Linked DNA regions of Neodiprion lecontei. The protein of the gene in region 1 binds, or shares a complex with, the protein of each later gene. Links are inferred from orthologs where the notes say so. Each region holds a gene or a part of one and is shown on either strand. Other genes may lie near its edges. The genes, in order: nuclear pore complex protein Nup107, nuclear pore complex protein Nup205, nucleoprotein TPR and nuclear pore complex protein Nup58.

Region 1 (4,896 bases):
GTTTTGTGTTATTGAGGGGATTAGTGTAGTTTGGATCATGATGCGGTGTCCATCCTAATAGGCAGGCAGCTCGCCATGGTTGACCACAATGAACAGATAGAGACTGTGCCTTTTGCAACCGTCCACATCTTACCTATATAAACATTTTTTTCCGTTTTGACGTGCAAAGACAGACAAGATTAAGAACAAAATTGCTGAATACGAAAAAGTAATATCCTACCATGGTATTTGTTGATAGATACAATACATATTACACGCTAAGAATTATAAATAGTGCTTAAATGATTTTGTTTGATGATATTTGCAACAAATAATATGATCGTGATATACCAGAAATAATTTAAAGTTGAGAAGTGATCGAATATCATTCAAGATAAATGTTATTTGAAAGAAAAGGAATATGAAAAACCTACACGGATTCTTTAGACATTGGCACAAAGTTATCTAAAATTTTCAAATTCATAAATTTGATCACAAAAATTGGTGAAAAAAAAAAAAAATATTCTTTAAACAAAATCGAATGAGTGGTGATGATTCCTCCATAGGAGAATAATACATACCTCTAAATACATTCTTTTTTCTAATCTAACATCGTCTTCTTTGTCCAAGTCGTGTAAGGGCCTGCCTTCTCGGATCGGTGCATCAGGGTCTAAGGATGTTACTATGGGCCGAGATGATTTGAAGGTGATTCCCGTATTTAGATTTTGTAGTTGATGAAGAGTATTTTCCCATGCTACAGTTTTATCGGTAAAATGCTCCATCATTGGTAAACTATCAGCTTGATCAGATGCGTTTTTTTCCAACCAATCGACAATTAGCTGGTACTCAGTAATCGAGGGTTCATTTCTGTACAAGTTTTCAATCACATCCTTTTCTGAAATATTAGTTTTCAGTTCCATGTCTACTTTTGACTGAAAGTTTGAGGAGTTTACACGGTGTTGGTACAGACAGTACACTAAACGCCAAGTATTTCTTTCATTTTCAAGGTTGATCTCTTCCTCCGATACTTCAGTGTTTTCGACCTTTGACTGCATACCTGTTCAATATGAGAATCCTTAATAAAATTACACATTATGTCGCTAGAATTTTGAGGTAGAATCAATAAATATAATAAGTACAGGTGAAGGCTAATCTTTCAGTATCAAAGTACTTTTTAATACACTCTCAGTGCAAAAAATATCAATCACATCGCTTTTCATAGGTACTAAGGAGAAACCGAATTGGCTATTCTGCCTTTCATTGATATGACCCTTGAAAATTAATTGTGACATTATTCCTTTCTTTTGCTTTTAAACAGAGCACTACAGTTTTATGCAAATCTGAATGAAAAATGTATTCTGTTCAAATTCGTTACTTTATTTCAAGGTAAGACCTAGACATAATTTTTCGTACGCTTTACAATAATGGACAGAGCCACCAGAATTTTGGCAATTCTTTGTATTGAGTTTCAATAGATTGACAGTGTGTTTTCTTCATCAAGACGTATAAAAATAGTGATCAAGATGACAACAAATTTTTTAAACGTAACAGTAATGAAAAATACTCACTCTATCTTCCATTTGAATATTGTAATTTCAATCGATAAAGACAAGAAGTAATTGAATGGTATTTTTGAAACACTTGTTGATACTGAAACCATTTGTACCGTTAATGAATAAATGACTTTTCTCATAATTTTCATAGTATTTCAATCACCTGTTTTGTTTTGAAACTATTCTATTTTCATTTGAGATTTATAAAATTCCAGAATTTAAAAATATGTGTATAATGAACTGGAAATTATGATGACTATTTTAAAATAGAAATTACCATTACATATTTGTGTATGTCGGATAGTGAACGAATTAGTACCTACCCCGCATTATCTCTAATGTATCTGTGCAAGTCTGTATGAAATCTGCAATGGTTTCAAATACTTGGGGTGTAGCCCTGTGTGCCTGAACACTTTCAAGGAATTCATGGAATAGTTTAGCATTCGCTTCACGCCAGGGTTCGTTAGCTTTCAATACTAAGCCTGTGGCAGTCGAATCATCCATCAGCTCTCTTAGAGTAAGGTCAGTCTTTTCTGTCGTATTCATGATATCCCTAAGTTCATGTGGTGCCATTGTAATAGATGTATCAAAGTCCTCAGTGTCATATTTATCAAATGACTTCGAATGTAAGTATGACCTCCGCATTCGTGGGTTTTTAGCCTCGGATGGAAACGACCTAGATTCATCACTAAAATTTCTGGGAACATTTTCAATGGAATCCGAGCTTCTCTCGAGATTGAAATTCGGTTGCAATGATATTCGTTTAGGCGTTGTGCTCTTAGTTGCTAATCGCAGCAACGAAGTTCTCTGTGTTCTACCCGAGCCCAGCAACTGGATTGAATGGTCGAGGTTGTCTGCAGTTTTTTGCAACGGCTCCATCTTGATCTGATGTAATAATTACAATGATTAAATAATAATCCAAGTGGTCACAGCATTCTATTGAGTGAAAAACGATGAAAGCGAGGGCAATAACATAGCTAATAGTGAATACTTCTGAACTAGTAAAGTAACTAATGAATGTAATATGTGCCGGGAAAGTAATTTTTCTTAAAGTTTGAGATTACGGTGGATATTAGCGGAAAATGCAACGTTTGCCGATGATTTTTGATGACAGGTAGTTCAGCACTTAGAAAGAACTACTGTTTCGTCACACGAAATTCAATTTATATCGATAACCAATAAAAAGAACTCGCGATTCCGTAATAGATGCATGCATGTAATTTGACTGCTAACCGTAAGATTAATACGAGTATCAGGTTAATTCATTTTTCCCAGTGTTGCAATTTGCAAGTATGCACGGACTCAACACAATAAGAATTCAAAACTTGTTGCACCTTGTCAATATTTTCAGAATACAAATTTGGACAAGAATTTTGATAACTGAAACAACGTAGGTTAGCACAGTACGGAATTGCTGCCGGTTACTATGCAATATGTACAAATTGGCGGGCCAGTCTTCACGTGGTGTACGGATCAAAGCCTTTAGGTAATTTTGTACCAACTGTTCAAAGAAATTTCTATATTGTTAGCACGAGTCTTCAGGAAGAAATCTCTAGTTTTCGTGGCGAGCTTTATGACAAGCATAGAGAGAATAAGGCCGTGTTTGAAAATTGACTGACAGTCCTGTCAGCAATCTTTCATCTCTTTTGCGCTTGCAAGTTCACGAATGGCTCTGACTCTGTCCTAGGGAATTTTCAGTACTGTCAGTCAATTTACGAACACGGCCTAAGTGGGCAAGATGTAGGGGTTGGCATAAGTTGAGAGACTTGCCGATAAAAAGAGAAAAAACATCAAGATACAAGTATACGTCCCCGCTTGCCTTATTGCTATTGGTCTTTGTCACTCTATTCGGTGACTTGATGGGCGAAATATATAGATTCGACAGTCATGCATTTCGGTATTGTCGAAAGTACTAATAGATCCTAGAAATCTCCCGATTCAGCATAAAAAAATCGTACTCAACAAAGTTTTTTTGTAGTACGATAGGATGCTAGTTCCATCAAAACCTGATAGGGCTGAGTTCAGAAACCTTACTCGAGTGACTCGTATCGTTATGTCTTTGTTTAATCTCATGTGTTAAAGACAATATGATATCCGAGTTTACTCGGGTAAAGTTTCTGAACTCAGCCCAGGAATGCCTTTATCTAGTAACTTCTGTTCGTCCGTTATTTCGTGGGCCGCCGTTGTCATGGGAAGATATTCAAATATCCAACCAAAGTGGTGTGACGTCAAACGGCAATTCCCGAAATTTCCAGCAGCTAGTCACTAGAATTCGTTGACGAAAATATAGCTAGACGCACAATTAGTAGTTTCGGGTCGCCAGATACCGATTGAGTATTAAAATGCACTGGGCAACTCGATTCAAACCGCCCACTTCAAATAAATCGGATTTTATTTTTAATAGGTGAATAATAATGGTGTGCACTTACCTTAGAGCATTACTGTACATTCTCTAAGGCACATAATACTAAAATGTCGAACTCCGCTAAAGTATTTCTCTGCAATGCTGAGGTGTTTCTCTGCTGAGATATTACTCCGTTTCGATGGGGACGCGAGAGGCAATAGGAGTTTAAAAGCAACTAATTTAATATAATTAGAATTACATGAAATATATTTTAATGGGTTTATTGTCTCAATAGACCGTTTACAGAATACCAAAACCTGAATAATAATTATTTAAGAGTTAAGGTGGGAAAAAGCGCTGCTTGTCTGGCCAGAACTAAGTTCTAAAAATTGGAATATCGTATTAGTGATATAGAATAGTAATTAGGAATAAAATATACGTACATTCCGATCAGATGGTACAGTGGGCGTGGAGTAAAGAATTTCCAGCCACACCTAACTCCATGTGAGTGCGGGTATATGCTCTAAGATGCGGGTGGATTTTCACGCGCAGCATGCTCTGATTGGTCAGTTTACCAAAATCACTATTTGGTGACGTCTCATCACTGATATATATATATTAGTTCGTCTCATACTTGGTGATTTTGGTGAATTAACCAATCAGCACATGCTGTATCGAGAGAGACCTCTGTATCCAAGTGTTGCCGCACGTGAAATCCACCCAGTGACTTAAGGAGTGAGCATGTCAAGCGTGGGCAGGGGAAGGGGAATCAAGCATGCACGTACAAGTTTTTCCTTTAATTCCGAAAGAGAAGACAGCGAATCGTAATTACCAGAGTCAGTTTTGTTCTTATCGTAAATGGCGCTATTATTTATTCCAAGCCCTGAACCCCAGCACGAGGCCAACGCTGCAGAAGTAGGCCTGCACAGAATGAAGTTCATATTTTCCACCATTTTGCCTACAACCTAGCATACACTAGCGGCATCTATCACCCTACTTCGACATTCTTTTCGACTAGCA
Region 2 (7,598 bases), on another chromosome or scaffold:
CGAATAAAGAAAATCAGAATTTTGAACACAGTTCAATCTTCAATCAATGTAAATGAGTTGCGTCGGTAAGTTTGACATACTTGATTACGAGTGTACAGCATAACGTTGGCAGCAATTTGTATTGCGCACGAATGTTGTTGGGTAGCTTCCATTTGTTGATGTAGAGGTACGACGGGAGGCAGTTGTGGCTGAAATCTGGAGACCATGGAGAGCATCAAACGTTGGAGCCTATAAAGATGGGCTCGCAATTCTCTCATGCCTGTACTATCTTCAGATTTGTGTTCGTTAGAGTTGGCTCTGGCCAATTCCTCGTCAACAAGTTTATACATGTCTGAAAAAGAAGAGAATTAAATATTTGCATAGAATAAAATAGAAATAAAATCATGAAAAAATCAATTGAATGAGAGATGCCTACCAATGTTGGCAGACCTTGCGATGACCCCGGTGAGACTGGCGACTTCTTTGAGGAACAGAACATTAGAATGAGGTGATGCATTCCGTAAAACCATTTCAACGGTATCTCGATGACTCTGTAAAAATCCGCAAACTTGTATGGCACAAGACTGATTTTCCGTTCCAAGGGTAGTCAGCAAAGCATCGCACAAATAAAGTGCAGGTAAAAAGATTTGCTGATACCGCTGACCTATGGAAGGCACAAAGGATATATCTCCACCTTCAAAGCCCACATTTACGTCAGGATGCTGATCGAAAACACACATGCTTGATAAGCAAGATAGGACTTTATTTTCCAGAAGACATTCGGCACCCAGTCTGGTCGACGCCATTCTGCAGAGCGTTGCCATTTTTGATTCGTATAAATACAGGGGCCGCAGAGTGAGTGGATCTGGTTGAAGCATTGTTCGCAATAAATTGTCAGAATCCAGAAGACTGTCTACCATGTGTTTAAGGTACCCTCTGCTAGCCAGATATGTGACCCACGTATTGCTGCAATCGAATTCTAAAATTTTGTCGAGGCACGATAATGACAGCATTTTACAGACGTCGTGTCCACCGGAACAATCGTGGGACAATATATCCATCAACTTGTTACCGTAACTACTGATCACTTGTATCGTCGCATATCGATGCGAACGCTCCTGTAGCGGCGTACTTCTATAATACGAACTATCTAACTGACTAACATACATGGAATCCATGTTGGTCACAACTTCCGATCTTTCCAAACTGACTACACAGAGGAAATTGAGAAGTGCCCCATAAAGATGGGTTCGAACTTTTTGTGAGGATACACCAGAATTTAAGATCCATTGAAGAATATGACTAAGGATAATCTTCATCATTGTTGTATTTGCAGCGGAAGACGGTAGCAGCTCATCGTCAGATTGCATGGAGAAGCTATTACGAAGGTTTACTAGTAGTACGAGCACGGTTCCAGATACAAGTGTTTTGATTTCGTTCAAAGCTTCGCAAGACGTCATCTTCTGCAGTAAATCATGTGACAAATTTAGCAGAAGATTTTGCCTCTGAGCAGCGGGAAGTTGCTGGTTCGTTGCGACAGAGAATAAAATTTCAGTTGTTTGACACCAGCCCTCGACGAACTTCACAGTAGCGTAAGAAAGGGTTTTCGTTTGATTTCGTTTCAAGGCGTATGCAAGGATAGATTGCAGCTCCTGTTGCACAAGCTTACGCTGAGTCGCAGTTGCGCTAGTTTGCGTACCAGCCAATTCTTCTGTTATAAGATTGTGAAGTTTTCTGATATCTATAAGCTGGGGACTTCCACCAAGTGGAACTGGAATGCTGCAGCGTCCCAACACCATTTCAATTTGAGACGGATCAAAGTATTCCCAGGACTTTGGAGGATCTAGATTTAACTGGAAATCGATATAGTGAAGTAGATCCATCAGGAGTTTTTGGGATGGCACAATTTGATCTCTGTCATGGATTAGATTGCCGACTAGTCTTTGAATCAGGGAGTTCTGAAGGCTGCCACCAGCGACGCGCAATTCAATTGCCGATATTTTTAGCAGCCAGGACATGCAGGCAAGCTCAGTCGCTCTGTTCGCTCCCTGGAATGGCAGCTTGGAAAGATGACGTTGTACGAAATCTTGATTGGTGGCTGTCCGAAGGAACCGAAGTACGGAAACAGAGGTTTTGTTATTTGAAGCCAGTATGTGAAGGAACCAGTAGCAAGCCTCTGTAATCTTGTCACGGCCACGCTCCAACGATAATTCCAATATCCCGAGTATAGAGTGCAGACAAGTCCTCGGAAAGCCTAGTATTCCAGGTTGTTGAATTGCAGTTTTTCTTATGTCCTTAGTGATGTCGAATCCAAGTAGGTAATGAGCTATGTTAGGCGCAGGGCGTGTTATGCTCTGCATCAAGAGGGACAAAATCCTGCCCTTGCAATTACCGCTTCGTTTTTCATTCCCAATTTCTTCCTCAGACTCAAAGTTTTCGTCAGAATCCAGACACTCTACGAAACCATGCCTGATCGTCGTTGCCAACGAAGGAGTAGACGTGAATGTAGAAAGTAACTCTGAATCTGCTCCAGGTTCGTTGGCGACGCCTTGAACAATGCCAACTGACACAAAGGCGTGTTGAGTGAGCCATGAGTTGTAGGATATGTATTTAACGATGTTAATCATGTGGTCTGGTTTTCCCGTGCGAGGATTTACACCTAGCAAAAGGCGGGATAGCCCTGTTAAAATTCTGTTGGTTGAGCTGGCTGCAGCCAATTGAACCATGTAATGATATTGGGCTGCCAATCCATGCTCCAATATCTGCAAACAGTGCAAAGTGCTGCTTTCGAGGCTTGTTTTACCAGGAAAATCGTCGTAAGTATCCAAAAGATGGCATCCTTCGTCAAGTATGAGCAGAATGACGTGTAGAAACTCGGAATTTGAGTGTAGCAACGTTATCAAATGGTGTCCAGGAGGAGGATTGACGACAGTCGATTCACCGCCTTGTAGTTCTATTTTACATCCGATAAAGTCTTCGATAGTTGGCTCATACTGTGTTATCAATTTAATGAATATTTTCAGACAGGCATCGGACACGTCCCACTTTTCCCCAGGATTTTTATACGACCGTGTGTTGAACCGCAAAAATACGGAATTTATTATGAAATGTAAGTACGGATCGAAGCCTGGATTTCTTAGGCCAACACCCAGAAGTCGAGGTATCGGAAAATCAGTAAGGACATCTAGAAGCTCCAACATTGCTCTGGTCAAAGGAAATTCCTCGTTTCTAGATTCAATTTCTTCTAATTCCGTTTGAATTCCTCTCGGTTGGTAGCTGCTGGTCGTTGGTACGGTACTCAGTATTTGCGCAGCTTCCAAACTTTGCCATATGGTAGATGAACTCTCCGGAGATTTTGCCAGAGCTGCGAGCGTTCTGACTAACGCACCTTTTAATGGAATCGGCATAGCACAGCCCACCAAACCAATAATAGAAGGCAAGACGTTCCAGCCTGGATGCTCGCATATCGCTATTCGAGAAACTTCATCGTAGTAAGCAACAACCCGAACGACTAGAAGCACAGCTTCCAAGCCTTTGACCTCGTGAGGTGTGATACCTTTGGGATGATTTCTTTGACGGTATACCGTGTCTTGTGAAGGTGGGAGTTCTTGTCGCAAATTAAAATAGTAGCGACTCAAGGAGTTGAAGAAATGATCCCAGGAAATGGTCGTTGCCCCCGAAGGTCCTGAAAAAATTAAATGCAGTAATAACACAAGATTACCTCTTATTAATAGACTTTCAAATCAAGTTATCAAGCCGTACAGCTTACCATTAAGTTTCAGAAAGTTGAATGCTTGCCTAGCCGCTGGTAGGGAAGAAGCAAGTGATGCTAGCATTCTTAGGTAGGGTCCAAATAGCCCGCTGGGCAATACTTCTCCGGCGACTCTGACAAATTTGAACAGAGCAACTTGCCTTGGAGGTAATCGGCTCGCATGCAAAGTGCTCGGCATATGAGAGGAGTCGGAATGTTGACACCAATAATCCATTGCAAGGTTCAAATTGAGGGGATCCTTTTTGTACAGTTCAGCGACAGACAGCATGAGGTACTCAAAATGGTTGTCAAGGTTCATGGGAGGTTCGATGCCTTCTTGTTGATAGGCTTGAACGATACGCATTGATTCGTCGGCTCTATTTCTCAACTCTTTCACCTTCAAAGGCATGAGTAGTATAAAATCAGAGATGAGTGTGTGAATGTAACGAACATAGAATTCCTCATTGTGGATGTGAGAGCTTTGAAGTAGAACTTCAGCCAAAAAATGAAAAGCCTTGTTTGCCAGAGCAGCTTCCACCAAAATTTCATCCTCTTCGGTGATATTTTGTGTAGGACACAGATTGGGTGCAGATTTTATAGTTGCTATGGCAATAGCTAGCGCAAACTGAATCAAACCACGAAGTCCGGCACTTTCCCAATTTACATTACCAGAAGTTAGCTCGGTTACGAGCTGTGGCAACATGTCAGGATCGTCAATAAGCGGCATTGCTTTAACAATTGCTGAAATTTGAAAAAAAAAAGAAAGTAAATCATCGTTCGACAGTCAAGGAATAATATGCAATTATCTGGATAAGGCTACTTATTATCGTAGACATACTTTCACCGTCCTCTCTGGTGTGAAGTGAGCTGAGATTTATAGAATTGAGCAAAGCCATAATCAATGCCAACGTGACTTTATCAGGGCCACCAGTCCCATCCTCAGCCTCCGGATGACGATTGTGAAGTAACGACAAAAGTCTGTGAGTGATGTGACTGGGCAAAGCTGACTGAGCTGACCAAAGGTATAAAATATCGGCAAGATCCTGCCTGGCACCGTTATAAAGACGCATGACCATGTGATGATGCTTGGCTCCTCCTAAGCCTCTGTTTTGCTGCAACAGTTCTTGTTCCTAAAAGAAGAATCTACTTATAATAGCGCCAAGTTAAATCTTGTGCTATTACCAAATACAAATTTTTTACCTTCGTCGGATCCATATCCTCCAAAAGGTTCAGGATCCTGTCCAGCAGGCCGTCTTCCTGCATTTTGTTGGTATACTCCGTAATTTGCTTGGTAAGCGTAACGGGTGTGTCGAGAACCCAAGTATGACCATTTCTGGCTTGAACCAAAGTCCTCAATGTTGAGGTGAGAGCTTTCTTCCCGTCATAGTACAGAAGGACAGCAGTTAGGCCTCGTGTCAATCCAGGATGATGCGGCATTTGAAGTTGAGCAGTACAGAGTAAGTCAAGAGCCATAAATTCATTTAGTTCGTACATGTCGGATAATATAATTGTCTCGTCAACCAATTCTTTGGACAAAACCTGGTGACCTAGTCCAGGCAGAGTTATACCCTCCGTCACTGCATTTTTAATTTCCTCACGACTCTTTGCATTCTTTGCCTAGAATGAGGATATGATAAACTTAGCACATGGCAATCAAGGTCTCCAAGTCGCAGCTACTACATGTTGAAATATTATGCTTACAGGATTGCTTAGGAGATTTAGAAAATTCTGTCGGTGATTGCGAAGCGCTTCCATAAATTCATGGTATTGTGGATCGTGGGAACTGGGTGCAGAGGTAATATATTGATCGACGAGACTCTGGAGTTCCTTGTAAGGAGTCCACATGTCCTCCGTACTTGTCTTTTCTGTAATAGTAAATGGTGTCGATGTGACAAAACTTAACCTAGGAAAATTCAAATTCACGCTAAAACGAATTATCAACCGAAACGTGAATTGTATCACTGAACAAGCATACAAAATATGAAGGTAAATACAACCACGTATTTTGACAGACAATTGATCATAAACGTTGTTGCATTTGTACCGGTGATGAAGTTGGGTAAAACTAGGTTATGTCACGTTACAACCGGGAGAAGAGTTCCAGTAATTAATGTAGAATAAGTTAGACGCATACGCAGACCTACCTTCAGTCATCCTTGCGCTATTTAAACTAAACTCAGAAGGTCAAATTCAACAATCACTGAAGAAAGAGACAAACACTCATTCGTGAATTGGCGGTTGGCGCTGATTTGTAAAACCGCGTGAACATGGCTGCGTTCATGATACATGGTCGCGAGCGAGCAGTGGTCGCCAACTTAAAAAAGGTAAATAATTGATCAATGCCACCCACTTAAAAAAAAAAGAACCTTCTTCATCAATGGAACTCGGTTGGGTCCAAGCGTCATTGGATTTCACCACTACGTTACTCAATCCGATCGCTAAATGCAGTTTGGATCAAATTTATAACAAAAAAATGCGCCAAACTTCAACCAAATATATATTTGTAGCGCTTTTTTGATTTATGTTGCTATTTTCGTTGGCCACTCGACGAAAAAACGTCATTACTCGATGTGTTCCGAGACTCGTCAATGCGAATAATAGGCGATAAATGCAACGATTTATCAGCTCCACGCAATCAAAAACGATGATTCGTTCGATTTTAAATTTCCAAAATGAAAAATAACGATCGACAAGCTCGTGGTTGAATATAAAATTTGATAAAAGATACCGGAAATGGCCGAGGTCTAAATTGTATTTCGAAAAATAAAGTATATACGTATGCGAAGCACGACTTCCGGAAGGACAGCTGCGATCGAAGTAAGAGCAGCAAGTTGTCCGTGAGTGTAGACAAGTGTAGCATAAAAACACAGTGAGATCGGTATCACGGAGTACGCTTTCACCTTTGTCTGCGGGAAGGAAAAATGTTTTGAACGGTCAGTACTAAAGTATATTAATCTAAGCTTGAAAGAATCTCATTTATTTGTTTTTTTTAATAACCCAAACGCCGTCCGTCGCAAAGCGTCTGGAGCGTCTGTTTTATTTTCGCGCCGTCCTCAGACGCGACGTCACTGACAACTCGGATGGGTTATGTTGGTCCACCATATCTTCGATGTTTTTATAGACTTCGGTTCTACATTTTGGAAAAAATTTTCGCCTCGCGTCGCGTTTTTGAGGTGCTCAGTTATGTTTAAACTTTTACAATTTTTTTTCGTAAAAAGACGAACTTTTTTTTAACGTTGTTGAAAACCAAAATTAACCACTTTTGTCGCGATTCTGTGTGTGCATTGTCAAAATCAGCTGCTTCATTGTTAGTTTATTACTACATTGTTCGAATCAAATCCTGCTGCATTTTCTTGACCCCCCTCAATTTTTAGAGGCAACAAGTATATCACACACTTGTGTACATATTCTCCATGTTGTTGTCTCTAGTCTGATATAGCGAAGGCTAGAATTACACACTAGGTTCAAAAGTTCTGTGATTTATATTCTTTTTTCTTACTTTTCCTTAACTTCAATAGAATACAAATTCCATTTATTAATGCTTTTTCTACCCTGAACGATATTCTATTTTCAGGAAAACCATCAACTTTCACTGTTGCCTTATGTTAAATTCAAGCATCGATGTTTTCGATAACACAGGTTCTACTACTGTACCTTTAATCGTCTCACCTTTACGCGCAACAATTACTGAATATAAAACAAATTTGCATGTTTTTATATTTCTCTTTCTGCACCGTTCTGAACAGATTCGTTTGGTTTTTTTTATTCAACGATTAATTAAGTCACAAAGTAGACAAACTTGTTCTAATGATCACCGTTCATTTTCAGGGTTTACAAGTCGAACATATTGGAAAAAAATAGAAGCAGC
Region 3 (4,994 bases), about 18 Mb from region 1:
CCTGCGCCGCTTGCATGTCAGATAGTTGTTCTACATACCTGAAATGAGACAATATTTACTTTCGTATACCATTAAATGGGTTCCTTACGTCAAATTACACAGTGGGGTGTAATACATCATTGACTTGCTGTGAAAGTAATGTACCTATCAAGTTTTTCTTTCATCTCCCCAGAATTAATTTCATCAGTTGCCTTTTCAATTTCTTCTTGTCTTGCAGATAATGTTCTGACAATTGATAACAATTTTTGATTGTTTTCCTGTAATTCTTCAATATCTCTAAAGGTAACCAACTTTTTGCTGATAATTTGAGAAGATGCTAGGTCGTCAGACTCCATTATTGTGGAAGAGAGGACTGTCGAACCTCCACGACTCTCCTGGACTTCTTTAAGAAGGAAACAGACCTGGAATGATGAAAAATAACTCTACTAACATGATCATACGACTGTACAGGTATTCCTATGAGATATTTGTCACATGATAATTTTTTTTTTTTTTTGTACTGAGTAGTGTTTGAGACATAACAAATGTAAATGAAGAAATCTAAATTAAAATATATAGAAATACCTGTCTAGCAAGATCCGCAAGCTCTGTCTTTAGCCGTTTATTTTCCCGAACATGGTGGTTAGCAATGCGCGAAGCCTCATCTGCAGATTCTTGCAAACGATGATTTTCAGCAAGAAGGTCATCAAGACGCGAAGTGAGCATTGTAACATTGGCAACTGCGGCTTCGTAATCGTCACGCTGTTGTTGCAGTACCGGTGCCTTATCTTCAAGTTCACGGAGTATTATATTCATTTGTGACTTTAATCGCTCATTTTCTTCTTTCTCAATTGCCAGTTCGTTGGTAGCATCAACCAATTGGGTATAAATTTGGGTCAGGCTGGAGCCTTTTTTCAACAGCCTACTTGCTACTGCTGCTGTTGGAGCCAGTTGCTCCACTGCGTGGTCTAACATTTCTATGGAGCACATAGTAAATAATTAAGTCAAAACGTTCTTAGCATGCTTACCTTTAATATATCATATGGATGTCTGGTAATTCATCGAGCAACTTTCATGGATTAAGCTGATCAAGAAAAAGTATTCAAAAGTATGATCTAAACGCAATTGTTTTCACATCTAGCCTTAAATTTGATCGAAATTAGATATCCAACTTTAAAACTATACCTTGTTTGGCGTCCTTCAGTAAATCATTCGCTCGTTCCAGCTCTTTTACAAGCTCCTCGATTTTTTGTGACTTTTCAGCGACCTCTTCATCAATTCGTATTTGTAGATCATTGTGCTGTGTTTCAAGCACACCGTACTGCTCTGTGGCTTGTTCAAGCAGGGATTGTAGTTCTTTAACAGCTGAACTAAATTCTTCAGCCTTGGCATTAGCTTCATCTGCCATTCCCTTATAAAGATCAGCTAGTCTAGTTTGAGCGTTAACTTCCTCACGATAAGAAGCATGCATTGAAAGCTCATGAGCTCTTTGTTCTTCTAATTTTTGTGCCATTTCATCACAGCGTTTGATGATGAGGGAATTTCCTTCGCGGAGTTTACTAATCTCATCATTAGCTATTCGCAGTTCTTCCTCACGCTGTGAAAGTTGGGTTTCTGTCAACAGTGATCTCTTGGACGATTCAGTACGAACATTTTGCAGTTCTCCAGTGCGCCTTGATAGCTCTTCTTCTAAATTGGCCATCTGTTGAGATAAAAGGGTTCGCTCTTTCTCCAGACGCTGTTCCCTGTGAATAAATGTATTTACAAATTTCCAACAAGGATTTATATTTCTCTGTTAGAATACTTGAAACCTATGGATAACTTGAGTTAACAAATACAATATCTACTGACTTGTAATCTAAAGACATCTCGCGACTGCGGATCTCTTCAGTGTCAGCCAGAGCCTGACATTTGGCAGTCACCGCTGTCTGCAGCTGAGTACTGAGCATTTGCAGCTCGGCATGTGTACGCTCAAGTTCTGCATCTCGACGTTCAACCTGTAGTTGTAATGCATCTCTTTCATCTGTGGCTACATCCCGTTGACGTCTCAGCTCTCCGTTATCCTTTTCTAATCTATATAAAATGGATCAGTAACAGAATACTAAAATTTAGATGCGAAATATCTATTGTTTCAAAGGAATTCGAAGTCAATTAATTTGTTAGGCAACTCGTTATAGCCATTTTCTTTCACAGAAAAAACAACATATGCACATATATGTACTACCTGGAATTTAAGAAATGAATTGCCTGATCGTACATTTCTTGAAATGTAAACCTAGAGCTAGGAAGAAGCACACTAAAGATATTTGTACCTTCTAAGTGATTCTTGTAATCTTGTTGCTTCAGACCTAGTTTCATCAACTTTGGTTTGAAGTTCATTTGTATATTTGTTGGCCAGTTCCAGTTTGCCTTTACATTCTTCCAAATCCAGTTTCTGCTCATTGTAATCCTTTTGTAGAGTCTCTAATTTTTGTTCTGGCAGATGAAGAAAGCAAAATTGGATGGTTAAACAGACATCAGTGAACAGTTTGAAGGGAGTTTTGAAACGGTAAATATCGGAGGCAGAAAAGTAACGCTAATCTTACCGAGATTTTTTCTGGCAGTCTCAAAAACAGCTTTAGCAGTGATAAATTCTTCGAACCGTTCATCGAAATACGATTTCAACTTTTCGCTGACACCCTTTGGAATATGTGTAAGTTCTTCTTCATTCAATATGCTGCCTAGCACGTTGTGTGGGTTTTCTTCTATTGTTTCCATATCGTTTTTGCCGATAATTCACAAATTTTAATATGTATCCGCGTCTCTTTTTCGTGCAGATTCTACAATCTTCACCGGCGTTTGCGGTTGTCGGTTGATTTGTGAAGAAAATGGTGCCAGATATACAGATTTAGGATTATTACCAACTTAAAATCATCGGCCGTCACGGTAGCATAACGGTGGGTAAAAGTAAAAAGTAACGTTATTGGTTAGTTCGTTGAGAACAGGTCTGACATTGGTCGACTTCCGTAATTATGCAGCCAGTGCTACCGTGATTGCTGCAGTCTTAGACCATATACTACTGGAGTTAGCTACCCATGCCGTCAAACTCGCAAATACTATGGCCGTGGCGATGAGAGAGCGCGACATATATCCACGTGTTACCCTGGATACTCCGTTTCTCTCACTCTGCATTTGATTGGCTGAGAGGAAACGCATTGGCCAACCAGGTTGTGAAGCGAGGGAGATAGGTAGTACATGGCATTGATAAACTATCTCACTCTCTCACTATACTTTCAGTACACGCGAGGCTACCTTGAGTAGTATATGCTATAAGGCTGCAGTTCACAAACAACTGTATCTCGAAGTAAAGGAAAAGATCAATGCTAGATGAGCATAAGCTACTCAAAAGCTACTGATAACAGGATACCAATTTTGAGTTTCACTCGCTCTATCAGATTGTAGGGTAGCCCTTCCATAGCCTCATTCTGCACGGATTTTCATCGCTGACAGCAATTTTCAGGTTAGGTATATACGCAATCGGAATTATACATTCCCGGGTTTTTTCGAGTCTGGGTAAGCAGCGGGAGATCGATGTCGCTGTCTGTCGTCCAGCCAACAGTTGGCGTTCCCGATAAGTTCTGTTAGGGGTTCTGTGCTCCGAAAACTACCGACCACGTGGATTAATACGTTGTCAATTGCGCCGCAGGTAATGCGGAAAATGTTTTTAAATATGGATACACATGTCGGAATAAAATTGTTAATTCATCGCCAATGTTATCTTTAATGATACTTTATTAAATTCCAGCACTTTACAGTTGCATTTCATTTCTAATATTCCGAGCAGACTGCTTGTTTAACCTCGAATAATGTGTAACAGGATTGAAGTAGCGTGCTATTTCGTTTCGATTTTTCTACCTTGACGACTATTATTTAAAAATTGGTTATGTCGTTACAAGTTGATATGAATTATATGTAATTTCAGGTACCCTTCGGCTGTGTTGTTTCTTTGCTTGAAGATTATCCAACATGACTAGATTTACCAGAGCCAAGGGCTCCAAAGCATCCAATGAACGTGTTCCTGATGAGGCTACACCATGGAGTATAATGAAAATGCAGCTTGAAGACAGTCAAACTGCATCCAAAGCTGTCACGAAAAAGCCAAAAACTGCTACTGAGTTACTTGCAGAGAAGGATAACCGATTATATTATGATACATTTGGGAATGTGAATCATGAATGGGCAGCATTTGACAACGTTCCAGAGTTACAATCCAAGAAAAATAAAATTGACAAATTACACGATATCAAAGGCAGCAAAAACAATAAAAATCAGAAGGCTGTTGAGGTACAGGGCTTAAATGATAACTCTTTTAAAGATCAAGTTCTTGCAATTCCAGTGAAAATAAAAAACAAAAAGCAGAGTAACATTCAAGCTAGTAGTGATGAGATCAAAAATTCTAGTACTACTGGTCAAGTTAAACCAAAATCAGCTAAGAAAAAAAAACTTAATGTAACTGGAAACGAAACAGAAATGGCTGCAAAGATAACTGATATGTCAAAAAGTTCAGACATAAAGAACAAAGCTATCAATTCAACTCCTGGTGATACTCTGCTAGAGGCCAAGTCTAATTCTGTTGCGGTAGAAGACCTGTGTTCGAAATATAAGCAATGTAAGAAATGGAAAAAGAAATCCAAGAAAGCGAACCCTGATTCTGATATTGGTCAAGCGGCAATCGATTTGTTGCAGCAAAATCAGAAAGCTGAGTTATTGAACAGTGATTGTGCAGTGAAAGATAGCATTACTGAAGCCCAGGAAGAAGGATGTTCAGAAAAGTTGAGTAAACGCCAAAAAAGAAATAAAAAAAAACAGAAGAAAATAACTAGCACCAATCTTGAGAACCAAAATCAAGCTACTACTGTAGACACACAGAAGAATCATAGTGCTGAAGGCTTTGATGTACAAGGAAATGAATGGAGTAATCAGGTCAAATTTGGAACACCAGCAGTCCATTGTTCACATAGGCCTACGTCTACTGA
Region 4 (7,613 bases), on another chromosome or scaffold:
TTGTTTTTTACAGCAAATGAAATGTGCGTAAAACAAGTCTTATTACGCACTTACATTACTCGCAAAACAAAACTCTTGACATGATAAGACTTTGTCTTCTAAGAAAATTAAGTGTACAAAAAGATACGAAAACAACTATTATTCACAGATTCCCTTATGACCCTCGGCATTCATGCGAGTTTGCTTCTCATTAAAAATACATTTGCCCAATTCGAATCGTAAATATGAAAGTATGGAATTTGTTTCTTCGTAAGTCCACTTTGATTATGTTTGGGATTTAATTACAGATTTTTCGACTAAAAAAATGACAAATAAATTAGTTTCGATTTTTTTTTTCTTCGAATATCACTAAGATTCATGATTTTACATATTTTTGACTTTTAGACAGGTACTCATACCGAGCACACGTTTGGTCCTTCCAATACTGTAATACCCCTTATTACATCCAATTTCTCGGGATAAAAATCCATGAAACAATATTTTCCAGTATACAATCGTTTCATCTGGATTTTATGCGACGAATGTAATACCAAAATACACTTAGATTTTTTTTTCATCAACTTTAATGCTTATGTCTCTTGTTACCAGTTGGTGGTTTTTGAAGTTGAAAACTGAAGTTGGAGTCTGTTGCTGATAGAGAAGTTGCCAAGTTTGACGGTGTGTTAAAACTCAAACCTGTTGCTGGTGGTTTGGCAGACGCACCAACTGAAATACTACTGGCTGTTTGTAATGACGTTGCATTACCCCAAGCTGAAACAATTTCATTATTACATCGCCTCTAGAAAGTATTACAAAATTAAATTTACACACACCTTGAGGGCAGTAAACTACCTTTTAAGCTCTCCGAAAATAAGAAAAAAAATGTCAGCGTATATATTAAAACCATTATTACATTTCTGTATTGATTTGTGTTCCATAAAAGAAAGGCAGCCTCCATAGGTATCCCATTACTCGATTTAAAATAAGTACAATCCCCCTTACTTAAAACGACTTAACATTACTTTTACGAAGCACATTGCATTATTATATTTCTGTATTGATTTGTGTTCCATAAAAGAAAAGCAGCCTAGATAAATATCCGGTTATATTGATTTAAAAAAAAATTACAGACCCCCTTAGTTGAAAAAACAAAACAAAAATTTTACAAAGCACAAAATCAAATGGGTAATATTTAAATATATCTAGGTGTGCTCGGGAGAATCCTAACAGTACATTGTTAGAATCATGCATTTTTCTTGTCCAAGCATAAGCCTGTTCACCTAAAGCCAAAGCAATTTCAGATGAATTTGACATAGGGAATTAATGAAATCTAATTTTTAATCACCATTGCAAAGACAAGAGTTATATAACTATGCATAAGAATGAGTGAATAAAAAATTAATACAACAATATGTTGTTCATGATAAGCATATTCTTTATAATGGATGCAAGAAGGTTTACTGTTCGAATTAAAACAAAAAGACTTTCCTAAAGCATTTCCGTCATAAAGTCATCCCATATTAAATGATGCAATCATTCCGCGTCTTTGTCTGTGAATCGGCTGTTTTTTTCCCCTTCACAACTCACGAGGGATCTACGGAATATTAGATTTTTCAAAAATCTATTGATCGACATATGAATTTTCGCAAGAATATTCGATTTTAGCAAGAATAACCACTAATGAACTGCAAGATAGTATGTTTGTGGTTCACTGGCGATTATCGTTAATAAAAAAGTGAAAAACTCGTGCATGTTTCAAAATTATTTTGAAAAATCTGACACATTTGGTAGTTTCATATGAAAGTATTCCACTGTCACTAGTCATATTCAAGGGAATTCGCAACTGTCAATAAGATTATAAGTGTCTCGTTACTTTTTAAATAACAGAGTCGAAAGCGAGTGTATATGTAATTTACATAAGCATTGAAACGAACTGAATAGAGGTCCTTTGCCAATTTATAATTTTGTTTCTTTACCAAATCTTGTCTGTAATTTGTCTTCAGTCATTATACAGTTTCAGATCAAATGTGATGTACAAATTACAAATAAGGTGACCAATTTTTATTCAATAATATCTGTAATAGTAGCATCTAAAGCATGAAGTAAAAGCATGTAGTTATTTTCCATGCAAGGTTTTTAGTAAGGTAAAAGCTATTCAAGCTGTACTGTCCCTTCAAATAGAAAAATTAATACCGTTACATTCAAGCTTTTGAAAAAATTTGATATTAGCAACATAAGTAATTAAAATGAAGAGTGATGATAATTTATGCTACTTGAAGAAAAATCCCTCTAGGTTCCCCGAACACAAAACACTATATAATAATGAAAATAAAAAACAAATGCTATACCTCAAATACTAATAAACAGCCACTACTTTTTTCCTGTAAAGGCAAAATAAATACAAATCAAACAGATAATAAATATATTTAGTGATAGCTACAGTGTAAAATTGTCAATCAACGATATCACACTTGAATGAATAACTGCTATGTAACGAAAACAAAGGAGTCAAATTAATGAAGCTATAGAGCAAACGGATGTAGCAGAGTTGTGTAGTTGCTCTGGTTTTGTTAAATCAGTATATAAACGCAACGTGCACAGTAATAACGTATATGAATTCATATTTTGGTAGCAAAGAATAATTGTACAAAGTCTTGGTGAATTTTATGACTATTTTTTTGTTTGATAATTGTTATTTGTGTCAAAGTTCAAAATCTGAGGAAAGCTTGCAGTGCAGAATGGCAAATGGTGCGTTGGAAAATTAATACTATACCTATGCTTTCAGAAAATTTGTGCGTCAATATTTCATAGCAATTTTAATTTATGCGCATTCAACGATATATATTTCGTTGTGCAATCATGGCACGAAATAGAAGACGAGCAGATTACATGTTTAATTTTTACAACAAAATTTAAAGTTTGCTATAGCGTCAATTTACTACATCCATCTATTCTCCGTCAACTTTTTGATATTGGTAATAATTTCTACCTCATACTAAATCCCTGCAAGACCTAAATATAGGATACGTTTATGGGGTATTTTATATACGTGACTAATCGAAAAATACGTGAGTAAAGTGAAGAAGAGGATATAAATTTATACAAATGTAAAATAGAAAAAAAAATCCAATAAATTACACAGTATTTCTAAAGGTTCATCTTACCACTATTTACCTAAAGGGTTCGCTGTTCCATAGTTTGGTGGTCTGCTGGTATTTAGGTTTGTTGAGGATAAAAAACTTTTGTTTCCTAGAATAAAAAATTTTACAATATCGCAAATTTATCATCATTCGAGGATAAGTGAGACGAATTCAACTCAATCAGATACGTCGATGTTTTCAAAAACGTATCGCTTATGAAGTTGAGACTCATGCATCTTCAAAAATCGCTCGAAAGTAATAATTTATTCACAACGTGGAAGAATTCTTGCAAATTAAGAGTTCCTGTTTATAACACCCACGATTGCCATTCCGAAAATTTCATCTTCACAGGTACAGAGTATACCAGAGTATTTGAATGGTTTAAAATGACATGTAAGTTAAAGGTGAACAGGAATCACTTTAGTAAGTATTGAAAATAAACAATTAAATATTATCATAATCCCTTCAGTTCTGTACCCGTTTAAAACAGCTATCTGACAAACAATAATTCAAAATGTTATGGAAGAAGATCAATGAGGTAAACTTCGAAGGCTGGTTCAACAAATGTATTTTATTATTAGTTACTATTATATATTTTATTGCCTGAAGACAAACTTCATTCGTACAAATTAGCCTATGGAATTGTCTAGCCTACCTGGACCAAATGGAGTAGGACCACTGTTGATTTTTCCAGAGCTGATCCTGCTCATTTTTTCGTTTAACTTGCTGTCTTCAAATACGTTAGAACTATCTTTTAAAACGTATTTCCTCAAATTGAGATATTGTTCTTTTTGATGTTGAACTTTAGCGTGTACACCTTGCAACTTTCCCGCGACTGCTATTAATGATTCGTGAAGCTTGCTCATCGCCATTGTTAGTTCTAGGATCAAAAAATGTGGTCAGTCTGATTGATGATGTGAAAACATGTATAAGAAATTGAGCTTTGTAAATATGATGTATGAAAGTGAGAATAAGAAAGGTAAACTCACCCTGTGGAGTTAACGTCTTTGGTGTCACCATGGTATGTATATGTTTTTCAGTGGATTCTATCTGAGATCTGAATAATAATAAATCCTGTTCAAAAGTATCGGCAAGTTCCATAAAGAACAGCAATGGCGCATTGTTCTCATATTGCAGTCCTGCTGGTGTATCGTGTGTTCGTTGTGCAATTTCTGCATTTTGTAAAGCTTTTGCTGTGTCCTGTTTCAATTTGTCTGCCAAGGAACGATCCCGCTGTACCGAACCAGCGAGAGTTGTTAGGAGTTCCATCAACGACGCTGTGTCTTCGGCGCAGCGATTTAAAGGTCTAACGGAACCCCGAGCTATGTCCGAAGTGAATGACTTCTGGGTCTTGATAAATATTCTGGTGAAAATTCAGGGTGATACGTTACAAAGATGATAAAAAAAAAGTCTTTATTACTCCAATTTGACAAAAAAGCTAATAAACGTCTTCCAAATTGAACTTCATTGTTATGCCATGATTACTTACTTGAAGTTTTCAATAGTCTGTGTAAGTTCATTGGGTATGAGGTTTTCCTTAGCTGCTGTTGGGCTACTACTTCCTTGAGTTAAACCTAGTTTGTTGGCAGAAACATCAACGCCACCAAGGCCCTGGATATTAGTAGTTGCCGTTAGGGCGGCTGAGTTCACAGGTTTGGCACCAAACAAACCCCCGACAGGTGCAGCACCAAAAAGAGATGCTGAAAGTAAAGAAATCGTTCGATAAAATATTAGGCAGGACTCATTACTGCAAAGCGTGGTTGAATTTTTCTAAAAAATTACACGTTTGGCAAAGCGAAACTTTGTAACGCAAGTAAGTTTATAGAAGAAAAATTGACTTGCCTGGTAGAGTTTCTACTTATGAGAACTACTACAAAGCTCAGTAAGGTAATAAGCCAGTTGGAGATAAATTTTGATCAGCAAGAAGCATTACAGTGAATCATTCCCTTATGTTATTCCTAACATTGCTATAATCTAAAAATACTCAAGAGAACAATACTAACAACCCGTGGTTGTAGTGGTACCAAAGTTTAAAGTGTTGGTAGGTTGAGTGCCAACACTAGTACCAAAATTCAGTCCTGTCGTAGCAGCGGGTGTACCAAAACTGAGACCGCCAGTCGGGGCTGCCGAGACAATCGGAGTTGAAAATAAACCTGAAGATACACTTGTTATGGCTGTTCCTCCAGAGCCGAAAGGCCTCGAGGCTTGCGAAGTGGTCGAAGTACCGGCTGTGCTACCGAATCCAAAGTTCGGAGTCGTTGATGTTCCAGATATGGCTGTACTAAAGGATAAGCCACCAGTTGCAGCTGACGTCGCTGCGAACGACGGTGTGACTGTTGAAAACGCTGGAGCTGGTCTGAAAATAGGATTGAGATACGTTAATCGTTTGTCTCAGAGGGTAATAGAATTGGGAATAGAATCGATAATTTGCGTTACAAGTATTGACTGCGAATATCAGTAATTGCTAGTCTTGAACTTGTTTTCGGAAAGCATTACTAGTAGCTAACGTATTCCTAATTGCATTCAAGTTATGACACACAATGAAGTATTGAAGAAAATTAAAGTAGATGATACAATGATAAGTTTTAATTGGATCACCGCAGTGATCCGCGAAAGTTATTCATCTTTCACGAGAATGAGAGTTTTGAGGTTAGGATGATTACCGCCAAGTTTGAGGGAGTGTTCGCTGTCAGATGACAAGACTTACTTTTGATTACCAAATCCAAAGGTTGTTGTCGTGGTTCCGGTAGCAGGAGTGCCAAACCCAAATTTCGACATGCTTCTTGCGAGTGTTTTCAATCTAATATTTAAAAATATCTATACTACGTCTCGGCAAAACATTACATTCAAGACATGGCTTGAAACTTCACTTCTCAAGGATTAAGGTCGCCCGCGTGTCGCACGATGTCGCTGTTCGTTGCCGCCAATTTGAACCATCGAGCTTATATGTACGCATGGAGATAGCATCCCAATGGTTGCACGTGTCACGGGGTCAAGGCAATACAAGTACATTCTGTCTCTGTCGCTCTGCGCTGCGATTGGCTGTGCGCCCTACTTCGGCCAATCAAAGCGCGGAGGGAGCGAGACAAAATGTATTGAGATTGCTGTTTCCCAGTCACGAATGCCAGTGCTGGTATGCTACCTCATGCATACAAACTTGATGATTCGACTTGTTGCTTCCAATTTCGTTATGTGTTGCTAACAAGCGGTAAATTTAAACACTTAACAACATTTTCGAATGAATCAGCCTGCCTCAGTTTAGATCGAAGGATAGATAAAAAGTTTTAATTGATCCTAGAGCCGTAGCTCCCTGAGGACCATCAAATACGAAGCTTACAAAAAAATTTCAATCTTATATTTATACACGAAGTGATTAAAATAAGCAACACGGAATTCGTTTAGTTTAGTATTCATTCGAAATAATCGTATCATTTCATTATATGGACATTTTCAAAATCCATTTATATTACTTGAATACCGCGTGCCGGGTTCTGGCAAACCGGCAGCTATTCAAGTAGCTGTTATTGCTTTACTACCTACTTTGAATAACATTTTAAAAAAATATGAAATATATGATTGATGATAACCAATTGAAATTTGTCACGTCACCCTTTTCCCACTATTATCATGTCACTAACAACCCCTTTTTATAGTTAGTGAGCAAATAATCGAACCCACCAATTTTCGGTTTGGTGAGAAAAAACTATGCTGTAACAAAAACAAAATTTAATTTCTAGGACAATTTTTAAAACTTGTTGCTTGCAATGGGATTAATTTTGTGGAAACTTAAAAAAATATTTATTGTAATACCTGAAGAAGTGACAAATATTCTCAAACTTGAACCGATCGAACATAGTAATTAGCAAATTATTAAATGAATAAAAGGTAATGTCCATATCTCGGGTTCTAATTAACTTATTGAAACTTTTTATTTCAATTACGCGTTTTGGAAAAAGTCACCGGAGTCTTGAAAAATATCTAGAGTAATTTGAAAATGAATGAAATTGCTCACACTTTTTTACGAGCTAGAATTTTAAATCTATAAAAAACTTTCTTTGTTGACAAAAATTACTTTTTCCCTGTTACACTTTGAAAGTAGGCATTGAAAATTATCCCGACTATTTTTTTCCACATGGTAGAAATAATCTGACAAAAGTTATCGAAGAAGTGCGGATTTACGTGGACCGTTTATTGTTGCTCAACTAGGCAGCGTAGCCGGGTAAACTTTGGATGAAAAATTCGAGAAAAGATTGTTCTACACGTCGGGTGAGTTTCGGGACATGGAATTGAAAATTCACCGAATTAATAGCAATAAACAAAACGGCCGATCCCAGTGCTTGTCAGGATTTTTCAAGTAAACTAACAATGATACATTATTTTTGTATAGGACTAATTTTATAAAAGGCAATACGATGGAAAACTTTTGTAGGAACCATTTTTCACTGAAACCAACAAAAACAAAAATAAATAACTAAATAAATAACTTCCGCAATT

The links.
Region 2: nuclear pore complex protein Nup107 (region 1) and nuclear pore complex protein Nup205 share a complex: the UniProt entries of both Drosophila melanogaster proteins name them as parts of the nuclear pore complex. The link is inferred for Neodiprion lecontei from reciprocal best matches to the Drosophila melanogaster genes Nup107 and Nup205.
Region 3: nuclear pore complex protein Nup107 (region 1) and nucleoprotein TPR share a complex: the UniProt entries of both Drosophila melanogaster proteins name them as parts of the nuclear pore complex. The link is inferred for Neodiprion lecontei from reciprocal best matches to the Drosophila melanogaster genes Nup107 and Mgtor.
Region 4: nuclear pore complex protein Nup107 (region 1) and nuclear pore complex protein Nup58 share a complex: the UniProt entries of both Drosophila melanogaster proteins name them as parts of the nuclear pore complex. The link is inferred for Neodiprion lecontei from reciprocal best matches to the Drosophila melanogaster genes Nup107 and Nup58.

What each region holds. Positions count from the first base shown.
Region 1 is NC_060260.1:13,190,979-13,195,874, reverse strand, and holds the start of nuclear pore complex protein Nup107, read right to left. Parts: upstream 3,031-4,896; 5' UTR 2,867-3,030; exon of another isoform or gene 2,766-2,866; intron 2,418-2,765; 5' UTR 2,412-2,417; coding exon 1,856-2,411; intron 1,037-1,855; coding exon 561-1,036; intron 134-560; coding exon 1-133. UniProt on the Drosophila melanogaster protein: Plays a role in nuclear pore complex (NPC) assembly and maintenance. Required for nuclear import of Mad. Mediates the association between the nuclear pore complex and a subset of active chromatin regions adjacent to lamin-associated domains.
Region 2 is NC_060261.1:2,748,920-2,756,517, reverse strand, and holds the start of nuclear pore complex protein Nup205, read right to left. Parts: upstream 6,023-7,598; 5' UTR 5,885-6,022; coding exon 5,875-5,884; intron 5,596-5,874; coding exon 5,432-5,595; intron 5,348-5,431; coding exon 4,931-5,347; intron 4,861-4,930; coding exon 4,569-4,860; intron 4,472-4,568; coding exon 3,749-4,471; intron 3,665-3,748; coding exon 416-3,664; intron 332-415; coding exon 81-331; intron 1-80. Other genes in the region: PAN2-PAN3 deadenylation complex subunit PAN3, read left to right, coding at 6,811-6,903. UniProt on the Drosophila melanogaster protein: Plays a role in the nuclear pore complex (NPC) assembly and maintenance, but with limited role in NPC permeability. Required for specific nuclear import pathways such as Mad import.
Region 3 is NC_060260.1:31,011,540-31,016,533, forward strand, and holds the start of nucleoprotein TPR, read right to left. Parts: upstream 3,016-4,994; 5' UTR 2,737-3,015; coding exon 2,565-2,736; intron 2,455-2,564; coding exon 2,292-2,454; intron 2,053-2,291; coding exon 1,831-2,052; intron 1,725-1,830; coding exon 1,165-1,724; intron 957-1,164; coding exon 565-956; intron 402-564; coding exon 145-401; intron 39-144; coding exon 1-38. Other genes in the region: uncharacterized protein LOC107221997, read left to right, coding at 3,985-4,994. UniProt on the Drosophila melanogaster protein: Component of the nuclear pore complex (NPC), a complex required for the trafficking across the nuclear envelope. Functions as a scaffolding element in the nuclear phase of the NPC.
Region 4 is NC_060265.1:8,736,041-8,743,653, reverse strand, and holds the start of nuclear pore complex protein Nup58, read right to left. Parts: upstream 6,029-7,613; 5' UTR 5,898-6,028; coding exon 5,827-5,897; intron 5,476-5,826; coding exon 5,123-5,475; intron 4,820-5,122; coding exon 4,609-4,819; intron 4,483-4,608; coding exon 4,109-4,482; intron 4,000-4,108; coding exon 3,775-3,999; intron 3,229-3,774; coding exon 3,154-3,228; coding exon of another isoform or gene 3,146-3,153; exon of another isoform or gene 3,144-3,145; intron 2,992-3,143; coding exon of another isoform or gene 2,975-2,991; exon of another isoform or gene 2,842-2,974; intron 2,361-2,841; coding exon of another isoform or gene 2,350-2,360; exon of another isoform or gene 2,328-2,349; intron 2,185-2,327; exon of another isoform or gene 751-2,184; coding exon 563-750; 3' UTR 1-562. UniProt on the Drosophila melanogaster protein: Component of the nuclear pore complex, a complex required for the trafficking across the nuclear membrane. Together with Nup54, required for transposable element silencing regulation in ovarian follicle cells.